Alligator mississippiensis: one gene and its partner. The protein of the gene in region 1 interacts with the protein of each later gene in a pairwise test. Links are inferred from orthologs where the notes say so. Each region holds a gene or a part of one and is shown on either strand. Other genes may lie near its edges.

Evidence for each region.
Region 2: the proteins of MLX (region 1) and MNT interact in a two-hybrid assay, tested with the Homo sapiens proteins (2 studies listed by BioGRID and IntAct). The link is inferred for Alligator mississippiensis from reciprocal best matches to the Homo sapiens genes MLX and MNT.

Annotation. Positions count from the first base shown.
Region 1 is NC_081827.1:152,005,803-152,013,312, forward strand, and holds the start of MLX (max-like protein X), read left to right. Parts: upstream 1-2,716; 5' UTR 2,717-2,763; coding exon 2,764-2,808; intron 2,809-3,460; coding exon 3,461-3,500; intron 3,501-4,300; coding exon 4,301-4,390; intron 4,391-5,115; coding exon 5,116-5,222; intron 5,223-5,570; coding exon 5,571-5,670; intron 5,671-6,429; coding exon 6,430-6,529; intron 6,530-7,452; coding exon 7,453-7,510. UniProt on the Homo sapiens protein: Transcription regulator. Forms a sequence-specific DNA-binding protein complex with MAD1, MAD4, MNT, WBSCR14 and MLXIP which recognizes the core sequence 5'-CACGTG-3'. The TCFL4-MAD1, TCFL4-MAD4, TCFL4-WBSCR14 complexes are transcriptional repressors.
Region 2 is NC_081837.1:7,590,960-7,598,469, reverse strand, and holds the start of MNT (max-binding protein MNT), read left to right. Parts: upstream 1-3,267; 5' UTR 3,268-3,462; coding exon 3,463-3,535; intron 3,536-7,510. UniProt on the Homo sapiens protein: Binds DNA as a heterodimer with MAX and represses transcription. Binds to the canonical E box sequence 5'-CACGTG-3' and, with higher affinity, to 5'-CACGCG-3'.

The sequences.
Region 1 (7,510 bases):
ATTGACCACAAGATGAACATGAGCCTGCAATGCGATGCTGCGGCTAGTAAAGCAACCAAAACGCTGGCTTGCATCCATAGATGCTTCTCAAGCAAATCCCAGGACGTCATTCGCTCCTCGTACTCGGCCTTAGTGAGGCCGCAGCTGGAGTACTGCGTCCAGTTTTGGGCTCCACAATTCAAAAAGGATATGGAGAAGCTTGAGAGAGTCCAGAGAAGAGCCACGCGCATGAGCAGAGGTCAGGGAAGCAGACCCTACGATGACAGGCTGAGAGCCCTGGGGCTCTTTAGCCTGGAAAAGCGCAGGCTCAGGGGTGATCTGATGGCCACCTATAAGTTTATCAGGGATGACCACCAGTATCTGGGGGAACGTTTGTTCACCAGAGCGCCCCAAGGGATGACGAGGTCGAATGGTCACAAACTACTACAAGACCATTTCAGGCTGGACATAAGGAAGAATTTCTTTGCTGTCCGAGCCCCCAAGGTCTGGAACAGCCTGCCACCGGAGGTGGTTCAAGCGCCTTCATTGAACACCAAGACGAAACTGGATGCTTATCTTGCTGGGATCCTGTGACCCCTGCTGACTTCCTGCCCTTTGGGCAGGGGGCTGAACTCGATGATCTTCCAAGGTCCCTTCCAGCCCTAATGCCTATGAAATCTATGAAATCTATGGCACAGCAGATCATGGCTGTCCAATTGGCAGCCCATGGCCCACTGCTGCCTGGCTGCTGCTTCTTCCATCCCTCCAGCTGCAATAGCAGTAAATTCTCTGTGCTCCCCTTTCTTCTTCCAGTTGCCAGAGCCATGGCAATTAACACTAGCACTGCTTCTCTGCTGCCAAGTTTCTGGACCCATGGGGAGCCCCATGGGCCAGATGATACAGCTCTATAAGCTGGATCTTGCCATGTGAAGAAATCCTCCTCAGTCTGTCTCACCTCTGTATTAGGACAGCCCAGGCCACTCTGTTTTTTCCTGTTTTGGTCAACCTGATCAACTGCCTAGTTTTGGTCAACCTAGTCACCTAGGTGCCTGGGCTGTAAAAATTCCTAGGGAGGGGGAAGCTCGCTCTTCCTTTGTCCTGAAGCGGGCATGTGGGGAAGAAGACAGGCAGTCATTCTGGGAACACAGACACAGAAGGATGTGCCTCCATGAGAGACAGACTCTCTGGAAGATTTGTAAGTAGAAATCTGGAATTTGGCTATTTAGAACTAAGTTTTCAGCTGTATGTTAAAAGGGCCACAAGCCCATATTTGAAAGGCTCAATTGATTCTGTTTTACTCAAGGCATTTTCTTTTAATATTCCTTTGTCCTGTACCCCTACCCCATTCTCTCCATCTGTGGTCAATAAAGCTATCTGTTACAGCTCACCTAGCTGTGTACTCTTGAGGGAAGAGGGGAGAGACAAGCCTTTTTGTTCTCTTTGCTCGGCTGAGCTGAGGGGAGTTTGGCTCTTTATTAACTAACACGGTCCTACCTGAGATTATCCTAGGAAGCTTCAGGCTATAAGGAGCACCCAGAGATATTACCAAGGGACCAAGCACCCCCAAAGCTGTCTTTATCTGTGTATCCCGGGCTGCAAAGAGCCTTAACAGAGACCAGTGCCCAGGTGGTGGCAGCGTTACCCCAGGCTTGTGGGTGTGCTCCAGGAAAGGGGATGGCCAGACATGGAGACTCCCAAAGCATGGTTTTGGGCCTGGCACAGTGAGGTGGGTGGCTTAGCATAGTAGCACCCCTTACTGTCCTGCCACAGCCCATAGGCCACTGAGCACCAGTGCTCTAAAGAGATAAACCAGACCAAGGGAGAGGGGCTCTTGGCTAGTGCGGGCTGATCTGCTGGAGCCTGCCCATGTGGGGCAGCCCTTGCAAGTGCAGCCGTACAGCTCTGTGCAGTCTGGTGTCCTGAGCCAACACTTGCGGTGTGGGTGCAAGCCAACTAAGCACTGTGACATCGCTCCCTCATACAGCACTGGCACGGTGTCACACGCCTGTTTCACAGAGCCATGCGTCTGCTGCCGGTGGCTCCCACGGAGTTCCCTGTGTAATCGAGCAAATCCGGGCTGAAGGAGATGAGGCTGCAGGACAGCAGGGGAAGGCGCGAAGGGGCCACGTGACAGGACAGCATGGGCAAGCCTAGAAATTTGCAAAGGGGAGCGTGGGCCGCCAAGCGCCTCATCCCCCGGGATCCGATTTAAAAAGAACCCCCAATTTTCGGTTAAAAAAAGGAACCCCAAATCCACATTTTTCCGTGATTTAAATGAAATAACAGATAGATAGATAGATAAACTATCTCTATCTATCTATCTATATCAGTGGTGTTTCATTTAAATCACGGAAAAATGTGAATTTGGGGTTCCTTTTTTTTACCCGAAAGTTGGGGATTATTTTTAAATCGGAGGAAACCAGGATCCCTGCTCCTCACATAACACAGCACAAGCTTTATGCAGCTAAAGAGACGCTGGAAGCGCTGGGCTCTGCCAGGGGCCTAGGGCCGGAGGGCTCCGTTTAAGATGCATGCAAGGCTTCATTGGGGTGAGGTAAAGCAAGCTGCGGGGCGGGAGATGGGAGCTGCGGAGCCGGAGAGCAGCTGAGGGGCAGCGGCAGGGCAGAGCGGCCCCTCAGCTGAGCCCGTCACCCGCAGCCAGACTACAACTCCCATCGGCCTCCGCGGCCGGGAGAGGCAGCTCCCGGAAGTGCCGCCCCACGAGGCCAGCGGATGCTGTGATTGGTTGGCGCCTCGGGAATCATATGACGAGGCAGCGGGAAGATGGCGGAGCCACTAGGCGCCGCGGCCGAGGACCCGTGGGGAAAAGTGAGTCTCGGGGGCTGGACGGTGGCCGGGATGGGACGAAAAGCGGGTGGGAGCTCGGGTGCTGGAGCGGGATCCCGCTGTCCCCGCTCCGGGCCCCCGCCACGAGGCGGCGCGGCCGGGCCCGGGGACCCGCAGGCAGGCGCCGCGGGGCCGCCTCAGCACGGGGGTTGAGGGTGCTGGAGACAGCGAGCCACCTCCCAGCCCTGGGGAGCGTCGTGCACGGCCGTCTGCCTAAACAGCAAATAATCATATAATCATATGAAGCAAATAACAGGGGGGAATTGTCGGCCAGTCATCTCGGGGCAGACACAACTGCCCAGTGCCCAGCCCCTCCCATTAGTCTCCGAGGGCATAAGTGTGCATCCCTGTCAAGACGGTACTGCAGGTTCCCAGAATAAACTGCAGTAAAACAAGGACGTGCCCAGTGTGCTGCCCAGCAGCACGGGCATAGCAAATTGCGCAGCAGCCTTGTTTGAGAGAGCAGCTGTTCTGCAGAGTGGGCTGTGGGGAGTCGACAGGCCATGGGCTACTTCTGTTGCTGACACACAGTAGCGTGATAGTTGATTGCGCAAAAGAGGAAACTGCCTTACTCACTGGCTGGCTTTTTTTCTCTTCTCTTCCCTTTTGCTTACACTGTCATCTGGCAACACAGCAGGTGGACTGTGTGTACAGCGACAATGGACTGGAGGCTCGTAAGTAGCTCTGTGCATTCCTCTTTCAAATATTGTCGGGTCAACTCTGCTGTTGCCAGACAAAAGAGCATAGATGAAACAGGCAGGGCACGCCAGTTTCCTGCATCATTTTAACGCTGGAAACTTAGCGCAAAGAATAATATGTGCGGAATGTAGGTTTTGTAAATATAAGCGGTGCATGGATTAAAACTTTAAAGGAGGGTTTAAATTAAGGGAAAGGGACGACTTGAACTTGTAAAGAATGATAAATGGATGTTTTTGTCTAGCTCTGGGACAGCGGTGCAAGCCAAAACGTGTAAGTAACAACTGGAACGTAGGGAGAAGGAAGCTTGAGATCTGCTGTCACTGCAGTTTGAGTGATCACACCCAGGCTGAGTGGTGCTGGGTGGGAAGTTATTTTTAAAACACGCAGTCTCTAATCTGATGATGCCTCGCCATATTCTCAGCTTTTTAAAGCAGAACTAATATCTCCCTTGTATCAGAGGCATGCAGAGTACGGGCCAGTTACCTGCTGAATAAGCTTCCCTGCTTCCGTGTTTTGTCCATGTTAAAGATTACAGTGAATCCCATTGGGGTTTAGCTGGTTCCTTCACAGCTCCTGAAAAATCTTTGCTGTCTACTTGTTGCTAAATCCACAAAACACCTACAACAGCAAACAGATACTAATTCTTATAGCTGGCTACCCTGTGCTTTACCCACCTGAGCTGAGCACCACACTGTATCCGTTTGGAACATCCCCTGGGATTTGAGATCCTTGCTCAGCTCACTGCTTCATGCATGACCAGTATTTTCTCTTCCAGCACTCTTTGTGGAAAGCAGTAGAAAGGGAAGCATAGTATCACGAGCGAACAGCATTGGCTCCACTAGTGCCTCCTCTGTCCCCAATACAGGTAAGGGCCATGGTGTCCCTTCTCCCTGTCTGTAGGTTAGTCCCTCCCTCAACTTGTCCAGCACTTAAGATGCTTTTGGTGCTCTTTCTCACTTATTTCTAACATGTGTTCTTCTCTGGCAAAAGCTGCTCACATGCAATCGCAGTAGCTTCCCTTGCCAGCTTGAGTATATATGTCTTTCATTCAGCAAAGGAGGATGGTGGGGAGCACCAGGAAGGTGTCGCAGTTTCCAACGAGACAGTTTGATAAGGCACTCCTGACTTGGGGCAAGGAGAAGAGTTAGTGTGAACAAATGGCCTGGCTAACGGAAATACCATCAAGAGAGTACTGAGCACCTGCCCTCTGAAAGAAAAAGACCTTGGACTCCAGCTTCCTGTTTTAATGCCCAAGAGATCTTCTCATGAGAATCCTGCCTACATTAGCCAGGGGCTTTGGCAAAAATGTGTTGCCCAGCTGCCTACTCACACCATGCTCTGGTGTAGGCAGCTGCCAGCAGGCCTGCAATGGCTCTGGGAGGTTCATCTTTGCCTTGTTTGTGCCCTGTTTGCAGCTTGTCTACCCAGTCAGTAATTGTGTCTGGGTCTGGACCAGAGTGCATAAAATGATTCCAGGAAGAGCATGCTCCCCCATTACCTCTGCACGTGCAGCTGCATGTCTGCCTCTGCTTCCTAGGCTCCAAAAGCGCCTGAGTTCTCTTTGACACAGTGACTCTTCTTCCGTTGCAGATGATGAAGACAGCGATTATCACCAAGAAGCCTATAAAGAGTCATACAAAGACCGGCGCAGGCGTGCACACACCCAGGCAGAGCAGAAGAGAAGGGATGCCATCAAGGTAACATCAGAGCAGCTATCAGACTGTTCTCTTGGATGGGAATACAGTTGGTCCTTTCCTTTTGTTACATACCTATAACGCGGGCATCCTGTGGTATCAGCATTCTTATTTCTCCCACATCAGGACACCCATATCCTTTTAGTTATCACAGTCACTGTGCCCCTAAACATTTGGCTTACTGGGGGCAGGTTATCAGCCCTGAGTAACTGCATCCTAGATGCCATATGAAGGAACTGGAGAGACAGCTGGGACTTTGGCACCTTATGAGACCACCTACTTGGCCACTGCCCTTCTGTCATGTGGTTTAATCTAAAAATGCCTGTAACATCATCTCTTCCTCTTGAACAGAAAGGCTACGATGACTTGCAGGCTATTGTGCCTACATGCCAGCAGCAAGATTTCTCCCTTGGCTCCCAGAAGCTGAGCAAAGCCATTGTCTTGCAGAAAAGTGAGTTGGGGGCAGAAAAGGGGCACATTCCTACCTAACCACTGCATCACTTTGCATCTATGCTGGGAATTCATGCTCCTGCAGCCACTGAGTGGGACACCAGCCATCCAGAACTAGACTGCAGTGAGGCAAGGGATGTCCCCACTTGCATTATTGTCCCCCACCCCCCATCTTTGGACTTTGAACTGCTGTTAGTGTTTTTCCCAGGACTTGCTCAGCATTCTGCTCCCTGCTGCTTCTCTCAGCTGGCTCTGCAGTTTAACTCTCCCAAGCTCTTGCTGATGTTCCAAAACACTTCTGCACAAATAACTTTGCAGCAAGGGGTTGAAATGTACAGCAGTATCAATTGTCATTTCGTCTGAGGCCAGTTGCCTCCCTCCCCAACATACCTCATTGTAGCTTAAGGGTATTTAAATCACTTGGGTTGAGGGAGGAGGTTGAACTAAGTGCCTAGAGCAGATTACCTCTTCGTCCACCTTGATCCCCAGGTGTTTGACAGAGCACACTGCTGCTCCCTCTTCTCTGGACCTGGGTCTCCCTCTGCAAAGTGAAGCGTTTTAGCAAATGCCTCTTTGAGACCAGAGAAGACTGGCTACTTGTCAGTTTGAATATGTAAGACCTACAGAGGTGACAGTGCAGTGGTTTAATCCTGACAGGGCTCTAGCATCTGTTCCTCCTGAAGAGAGACAGGATGCAGTGGCCTCTGGACTCTGCTTGCTTGAGTTTTCCTAAAGCCACTATCATCCCTTTGGTCTTTAGCCATTGACTATATTCAGTTCCTGCACAAGGAGAAGAAGAAACAGGAGGAGGAAGTTTCAACGCTCAGGAAAGATGTCATGGCCTTGAAGATCATGAAAGTGTAAGGAACTTTCCTCCCCCACCTTTGCCTCCCGGGCCCTGGAAGTTGGAGACACTGTCATGGACTCTTATAAATAGAGCCTGGCACCCTTTTCTTCTTGCATGTCCATCTTAGGGCTGGTTCTCGACAAGCTGAACTTGACAACAGATCGTAGTGGGAGGAGCATGACCTGAGCAAGGGACTCTTGACTCTGCTACTGGCCTCCCGTCATATACAAAAGGAAGGGTCTCCATTTCTTTGCATGTATTTGGGCACTTCTACACATGCATATTAATGCACAGCAATAAACTCTGGTGCATATCTCTCCAGAGTTCATTGCTCACAGGCTTCACATTTACACATACACCCAGGACTGCAATACATTGAGTTGGGTTGGAGCAGCCCCAGCTGGCAGAGGGTCCGGGGAGTCAGCCTGTAAGCATGGAGCTGCTCTGATCCAGCTCAACTATGGAGGGGTACAAGAGTGCAGGGCTAGCTGGCAGACAGCTCCCACACTGAAGCACCCTCATGCCCCAACCAGGTCATCATTTGCATGGGCGTTGCTGCACGCAAAAAAACTTCTGCAGCAGAATAATACTTGTATTTAAAAGTATTAACCTGCTGCAAAGTTTATTAGTTTCCTGTGGCCTGATAGGGCTGCACATGTAGACATTGCAACATTTATTGCAGAGGTAATTAGGCGACTACAGCGAATGTCTCATGTAGATGCACCCTTTTTCTACATGAGCTTAACTGCAAGATCTTTTGCCTTAGCCATACAACCAGCTTTAATATTACAAGCAAAGCAAAGGCCCTTCAGAGGACAGTGCAGAACTTCCAGAGGCACCTCCCTAACTCATGTAACCTAAATGTGGGAAGTATGTCATGCAAGTGCTGGCTCCCCAGGCCTGCCATTTTAATCGGACTTCTTTGGTGCATTTCAGAAACTATGAGCAGATTGTGAAAGCTCACCAGGATAACCCCAATGAGGGGAAAGACCAG
Region 2 (7,510 bases), on another chromosome or scaffold:
TCAGGCTCAATCTGAAACCTGCCAAAGTCAAAGGGAGTCTTCTGACTGTCTTCACTGGGCTTTGGATCTGATCCTTAGTCCTAAACAGTTGTGTCCTAGATGTCTTCTGTAAATAATACAATAGGAAGAAGGTGGTTTTGCGATATTGTAGAACTGGGAGTCAGGCGTCCCAGGTTCTGTTCTTAGCTTTACAGGCTCATTTTACAACCTGGTCTGAACAGTTTAATCTCTGATCTGTAGGTTCTGTCTGCAAAATTAGGATAGTATTTATCTTACCTACCACTTGAGGGTGTTGTGAGGCTTGTTACATTAACGGTAGTCAGTCAAACGCCTTCTGTCCTCCAGACAGACGGTGCAACAGAAATAACAAGTATTGTTTGATTCTGGTTTCAATGCACAGACAGTAACCTCACGGGGATCAGTCCAGAGGTTTTCCACACAAGAGAAAGGAGATGTCCACAGTGCCCTAGGGATCATTCTGCTGGCTCCTGGTATAACTAGAGGGAGGGGGGAGGTTGCTTCTCAAAGACCGATTTTGCCATTGCAGCCTCTGAGCCTGGGAGTGGATCTATGGACACTTTGGTAACGAGCTCCAAGTTATTTACTGCCGAGAAGCTGACTGTTCAAACCAAACTGTATTTAAAGAGAAGGCATTGCTCCAGGAAGGGGAACGGGTTTTCCCCGGGATCTCTGGAGCACGTACTGACAGCATTGCAGGGAGGCAGGTTTCCCCTGCTTTACCCGGGGCCGCTTGGGAGGCTGGGGCTGTGTCGTGCCAGGGCTGGCGGCTGTCTCAGCTGATGCACGACGCCGGGAGGGGCTGGACAGGGATGATCCCGCCTCCGTCCCTCCCTGCCCCACTTCTGTCGGACCGGGGCAGCGCAGTCTGCGCGGATCGCGCCGGTCCCGCTGCCCGGGAGGGGGGCGGAGGCGGAAAACGTGGCGATGCCGGACCTAGCCCAACCCCGGCGCCGCCTCCCTCGGGGCAGCAAGCACCCACGTGGGCGCGGCGCGGCCTCCAGCGTCCCTGCAGACCTGGCCCCGCTCTCCCCGGCCCACGTGCCCCGCTGCGGGAGCAGCCGGCGGCGAACAGGGAGCCCCGGGCGCCGGGCCCTTTAAAGGGGGCGCCGCGGGCGGCGGACGGAGCAGGGCGCCCATGTGGAGCTGCTCCATGCCGTGTTGTTCTCCCAGCCCATTGGCCCGCAGCCGGGTGACATATTTTAATAGGATGCAAACGCAGTGCGGGGGGAGGATCCGCTGCAAAACTCGGCGCCGGAGTCCGCTGTGCCCGGCTCGGAGGGTGGGAGCCCATCTCTACCCCTCCGCTGTCATCTCGCCGCTGCTCGGCACAGCCCAGCTGCCAGCTCCTAAAGAAGGTTGCCGGTCCTTGCCCTTCACAGCCCCCTCCCTCCTGCAGCCCTGCCCAGGGCGTTGTTGGGGCCCTGGGCAAGAGAGTCATTTGAGGCCCCTTAATGTTGATGACCTAAAAGCAAGTCGGACGTTTTCGATTTCATTTTCACTTCGCCCTAGCCATGAAACTGCAATGAAAGTATCTTAATACAATATTGATCAAACAAATATTCAGTGTAATTTATTTTTATAAAGTGTGGGGCCTCCTGCGGTTGCCTGGTTTGCCCCCTCCTAAGCCCACTACTGGCCTGCCCCTGTCAGGCGTTGGGCCCTGGGCATCGTGTAGCAGTCCAAAGCCCTGTCCAATGCCATGCAGACAAGACGCCCTACAAGTCTTGTAATTAGCTTCCCAGTGGCCAGCTTCCAGTGGCTGCACCCCTGCTTTATGGAAAGGATGCAGACAAATTGGAGAAAGTCCAGTGGAGGGCAGCAAAAATGGTTCAGGGGCTGGGGCACACAACTTCTGAGGAGAGGCTGAGGGAACTGGGTTTATTTAGTCTGCAGAAGAGAAGACTGAGGGGGGATTTGGTAGCAGCCTTCAACTCCCTGCCGGGGGGGATCCAAAGAGGATGGTGCTGGGCTGTTCTCAGTGGGGGCAGATGACAGAACAAGGAGCCTTGGGCTCAAGTTGCAGCAAGGGCAGTTGAGGTTGTATATTAGGAAAACCTTTCTTACTAGCGGGGTGGTGAACCACTGCAACAGGTTATCTAGAGAGGTGCTGGACTCTTCATCCTTGGAGGTTTTTAAGACCCAGCTAGACAAAGCCGTGGCTGGGATGATCTGGTTGGGGCTGGTCCTGCTTTGAGCAGGGGGTAGACTAGATGTGACCTTCTCAGATCCCTTCCCCACCATGACTAACAACAACAAATCCAGGTTGCAATAAAGCTTCCTAAAGACACAGAGTCTAGGCCATAATGGGTTGCAGGAGGGGTGAGATTTTTTTTCCTGGTTGCAATACATCTTGGTAGAGACATAGGGTCTAGGCCGGGGAATGGCAACATTTTTGGACAGAGTGCCAAGAACATCTGCAAACTGGGCTTACAAGATGTTGGTGTGCCAGGAACCACTGGTGGGGGAGCCACAAGGGGCCCGATCCTTATTGTGGCAGGGAGGTGGCCGGGGCTGTGCTGCCATCTGCCCTGAGGTGTGCGTGCCAAGCAAAATGCCTTTGTGACTGTGCCACACTCTGGCACCTGTGCCAGGGGTTGCCTACCCCTGGGCTAGGCCTAGCCATGAGACTTTGCAGGAGGAGTGAGATTTTTTCCCCCAGTCGCAATATATCTTGGTAAAGACACAGGATCTAGGCTTCTCCAGGATGGTTTAAAGGAGGGGTGACATTTTTTCCCCAGTTGCAATATATCAAACTAGCTGGGTACCTAGCTGGGGTCATTTGAGCTTTAACTTAGCAGGGGTCATAAGAGCCATGTATTCATTCCTGCCAGGGGCAGGGGGTCGGACTAGATGATCTGCTCAGGTCCCCTCCAACCCTACATCTATGAATCTATTTTGGTAAAGACACAGGGTCTAGGCCTAGCCAGGACAGTTTGCAAGAGGGGTGAGATCTTTTGTACATATTATTATGACTCTATTTCATGTTCCAGGTCGAATCAGTTCAAAATCATATGGCCTGAGCAGGTGAGATGCGCATCTCCCTGGAGCACCCACTAGTAAAACGAAATCCATAAAGCAGAGAGATTGAAGGAGTAAACCTGCCCTCCCCCCCCCCGCAGACACCTCGCCCGGAGTTAACTCCACCCCTGCACCCGGCGTGCACAGCCCCAGTCCGGCCAGCGGCGGGGATCCAGGCCGGGTTTCCCCCGTCGCCCGCCTGTAGTAGCCCAGGGCAGTGTCAGTCCTTTTTCCTTGTTGTGTTTCTGTTACTCATCGCCATCTTGTTGCAAACCCTTTTCTTGTCTGCAAGACTCGCCGGGGATTGGGCTGGGGGGGTGCTTTGCAGGGGCATTTTTGCACGGGGGGACAGACCAGGCGAAGGAACCCCCTCTATCCGAGCCTCCGGGATTGTGGCCCCTCCACCGCAAGGCAGCCCGAGAGATGAGCATTGAGACGCTGTTGGAAGCAGCCAGGTTTCTGGAATGGCAAGCCCAGCAACAACAGAAGACACGTGGTAAGGGGGGACAGCGCGGAAAACCGGGATCCGAGCTCTTTAAAGACACAGGACACCATTTCCCGCCGGCGGGGAAGCGACAGCGCCTTTCTCGGGGCCCGAGACCCGGCTGCGGGGCCGGGGCGTGCAGGGCGCCTCTTGCTTTTCGAGCTGATTTTGCAGCGGGGGGTGAAACCATCTTCCCCCCTTGAATAAAAGGAGGGTGGCAGGCAGGCAGGGGGCTCGGGCTTTTTTGCGGGGTGGGAGCGGAGCTCGGAGGAGGGAGGTGCTGACACATCCTTGCAAGGGCTCGGGGGAGCCTGGGGTTCCCGGAGATCCGCTCCCCTCCCTCCCCTCCCCCCGGGTCTAGCCCGGCTCGGCTCTGATCCCGGAGCCTGTCTCGCTCGCAGGCTGCAAACAGACTCTTTGATTAGTTTTTCTCTTTGCTTAAACGGTGCAAACAGTCGCATGCGAAAAGTAAGTAGCCATGGAAGCATGGGTTTGTTTTTTTTTCCCCTTTCTTTCCTGAAAACGGGTTTTTATCGTGAATGGGTTGGGAGACACGGGGTTTCAATGCGTCAAAAATGCACCCCCCCCCAAGCTGTTCTCCTGGCCGGCAGGCTCATGCCTGGGCTCGCATTTCCTGGTGGGGAGGATCTGCCTCCGCGGTCGTGGGCTTAGGGCGGTGGCAGGGCTCCAGCGGAGCGGGCTGAGGCTGCCTTTGCATAATGCAATGACACGGAGCGTCAGATGATACGCGGCAGTTCCTCCTCCCTCCCTCGTGTGTGATACATTGCACACGGCCTCCTCCCTCCCTTCCTCCCTCCCGCGTGCGTGTGTGTGTGTGTGCGCACATCCCCTCCCTTCCTGGAAACGTGCAGGGCCGGGGCGCCCGTGTCCCCGGGATCCCTCGTGGGCAGACGGGCCCGGCCCGCGGGCCGCCCCTCCCCCTTGGAATGTTGCGTGTCGCCGCGTTCCAAGCGCCTTAGTTCCAACCGGGGGCGGATGACGTGGCAGGCCCCGCCCCCTCCCACGTGCGCCGGGCCCCGCCCTCCGGGGCGCTGCGGGGCTGCTCCGCCGCTGCACTTTCGTTCTGGCCACGGGCGGGGGAGGAGGGAGGGGGGCTCCCGGCGGAGGTTTCCGCTCTCGGCTTGCCCATGGCAGCTACCCAGTCCTGCAGGGGCTGGGAGGAGGGAGCTGTTCTGGGCCGAAAGACTGAAAATCGAATAAAAAATAGGTCATCCAAGAATATTTGAATATTGCCCCCCCCCCATCTGCACTCCCCATGACTGTTTCATTCTTGCTTGCAGTTAACAAACATCCTGTTTCTTGCTCTCGCACATGCACACAGTTGTGGTGAAATCGATACTGTGTTAACCTCCATTATACTCCACGCTCTTTCGGGCTGATCCAGGGATTCCCGCTTGCTCCTAGGGAGGTTCCCTTTGTGTTTGGATGGGTTTTAAGGGCAGCTTTCAAATCATCTTCCTGGGACCGATAAAGAATTGATGCAGCGTGGGGGGTATTTCACTTTGCTTGTGCTTTGTGGGGGTGGTTTTGGCTGGGGAAATCTCATGCAAATAGCTTCCACCGTGAATCTACTTCAGAATAAAAAAAAAAGAACTCGCAGGGCCTTTCTGACCATTGTGAGAGCGAGGCAGGCCTGCGGAGGTTAAGCAATAGGGTAGGGAAACCCTGCTTCCAATGCATCACCTTTTCAGCAGCGTGGTCCAATCATCCTAATTACAGATAGCAAATACTGCTTGGCAGGGATGCCACCCTTTTCCTGTGTGCCCTCCCTATATTCTTTGTTGACCCTAATCCAATGCAGTTCACTCCTATAAGAACAAGGTTGACCTTTTCCAGAGGAAAAAAGGCAGTGTGTGTATGTGTGTGAGAGAGAGAGAGGAGCTGTGTGTGTGTGGGGGGGGGGGGTGAAGCATTAATACAGTGAATTTCACTGAATTTTAAAACCAGGTTCTTGAAAATTGTGCTATGCAGTCTCGTTTCTCCCATTTATGTGTGTATTTTTCTGTCTGTATGTTGTAAAGGGTGATGGAGCTGTAATGCAGCATTAGCTCAATGACACTGGTGTATACCTGCTGCAAAAGCAAGGATCTGTTCCCTTTGTGTGTCATTGCTGTGGGATGTAGCTGAAAATCTATTGTTTCACTGATGAGTCATGCAGGAGATAGTGGATGTTATGAAGAAGGGCAGCTTGGAGGGAATGGGTAGAAAAGCTTCCGGGATAACTAAGGAAGGAAACTATCCAGTGTAAGCCTACAGACTATCACAACACCCCCTCTTACACTGGGGCTAACATTGCTGAGGCCAAGCGTCACGCCTACACCCAGGAGCAGCACAGCTTTCAAAAATAAAAAAAGGGGTTCAGTTCATGCATCTGCTTCACAGTCTCCATGTTCAGACTTACTCCCTGGTTGGTGTGCATATTGTGGTGCCTCACTAACACACTCTGATCACCGTGTGCCAATAGAACAGGCTGGATGCATGAGGTGTGGTGTGAGGCTGTGCTGCTTATCATGCAATCATCCTCTTGGGTTGGGGGGGTGGGGTATTTTTTTTCAGGCCCCCAGAAATGAGCTAGGCACATCTTCAGAACAAAGATACAGCTCTTGCCACAGCCTGCAAGCTCTGTTCAGCGTGCCACAACAAGCAAAGATCACGTGCACAGGGCAGGGCAATGGTAGTAAGTCAGAAAAGGGGACAAGAGTGGCGCAGGTCAGTGAGGCTTTGAGTCATCTTGGCTGCTGGGCTTTTTTTAGAGACTTTGTGGCAGAAATGATTTCAAGGGAGAGGCTTGCGCAGGGTGGTATGATAGGAGGGCCAGGGAGGACTCCCCAAACAGGAGCACCAGGAAAGAAGCCTAATGGTGCTACTTTCCCACGCTGAACTCTTCTAGACAGGAGCTGCCTCTGCCATATTTGTACAGCACCCAGTGCACTGGGCCTCCAGGCCCTGTTGGGTGTTACCATCCTGTAATTCTTTACTGCTAGGGCTGCTGTAAGAGGAGGTAGCAAGGCTGGCATAACAGGCCATGTGGAGAGGGTTGGGGAGTGTCAGTGATAAAGGAAACCAGGTCAGAGAAATATGTAGTAACTAGTCTGGAATTAGACCTGAAAGAGAAGACCAGTCATTCAAACTGGATATGTGGGGCAAAGGGGAACCAAACAAGGGCGAGAGAGTGACCCGGCTAAAGGAATAGGTAAGAACAGCAAAATACACAAGATTTGTATGATTCTCTAAAAGAGATGCTATGGATCAAACGAATTAATTCAGGGGCATCCTGTGGCCTCTGTTATGCAGGGGGTCAGACTAGATCAGGGGTTCTCCATCTCATTAGATTAAAGGAGCCCCTTAGAACAGTGGTTTTCAACCTTTTTCATTTGTGGACCCCTAAAAAAGTTTGGAAGTGCGGACCCCTGTGGATTGTAAGTGTGGGTATTCACGTAATTTTGATTGATCATAGTCATCTTTCGCGGACCCGCTTAGACATATTCTTCAGACCCCCAGAGGTCCATGGACCACAGGTTGAAAACCACTGCCTTAGAAAATACCAGTTCTTATTTTTCACTGTTTTTGTTGACTGCAGAAAAAATACTAGACCAATTCTTCTGCTGCAGAGAATTCAGGAAGCCCACAACAGGCCAGAATGTTTTCAACACTTTGGATTCCTATTTGAAATCTCTGGGTTTATCTTGTTTGCACACTTGACAGTGCTAACTTTGTGTGTCATCCCACAGCACCCTTCAAAGAATTTCACAACAAGTTTGCATGCCACAGCATCCTATCACTGAACTAAATGATTGCAGTGGTGCATCCCCATCTTACACCCTGTGAATCAAATCTGTGGGACTGTGAAGAGTGTTTTCCAAAGCAGCTTGGGTTCTGAGATTGCTCTAGTAGAGATGCCATAGATTGTACAGCTGAGGGGTGGAGGGATAGTACAGTATGAATCTGCTTGGGAGGCCCTGCTGT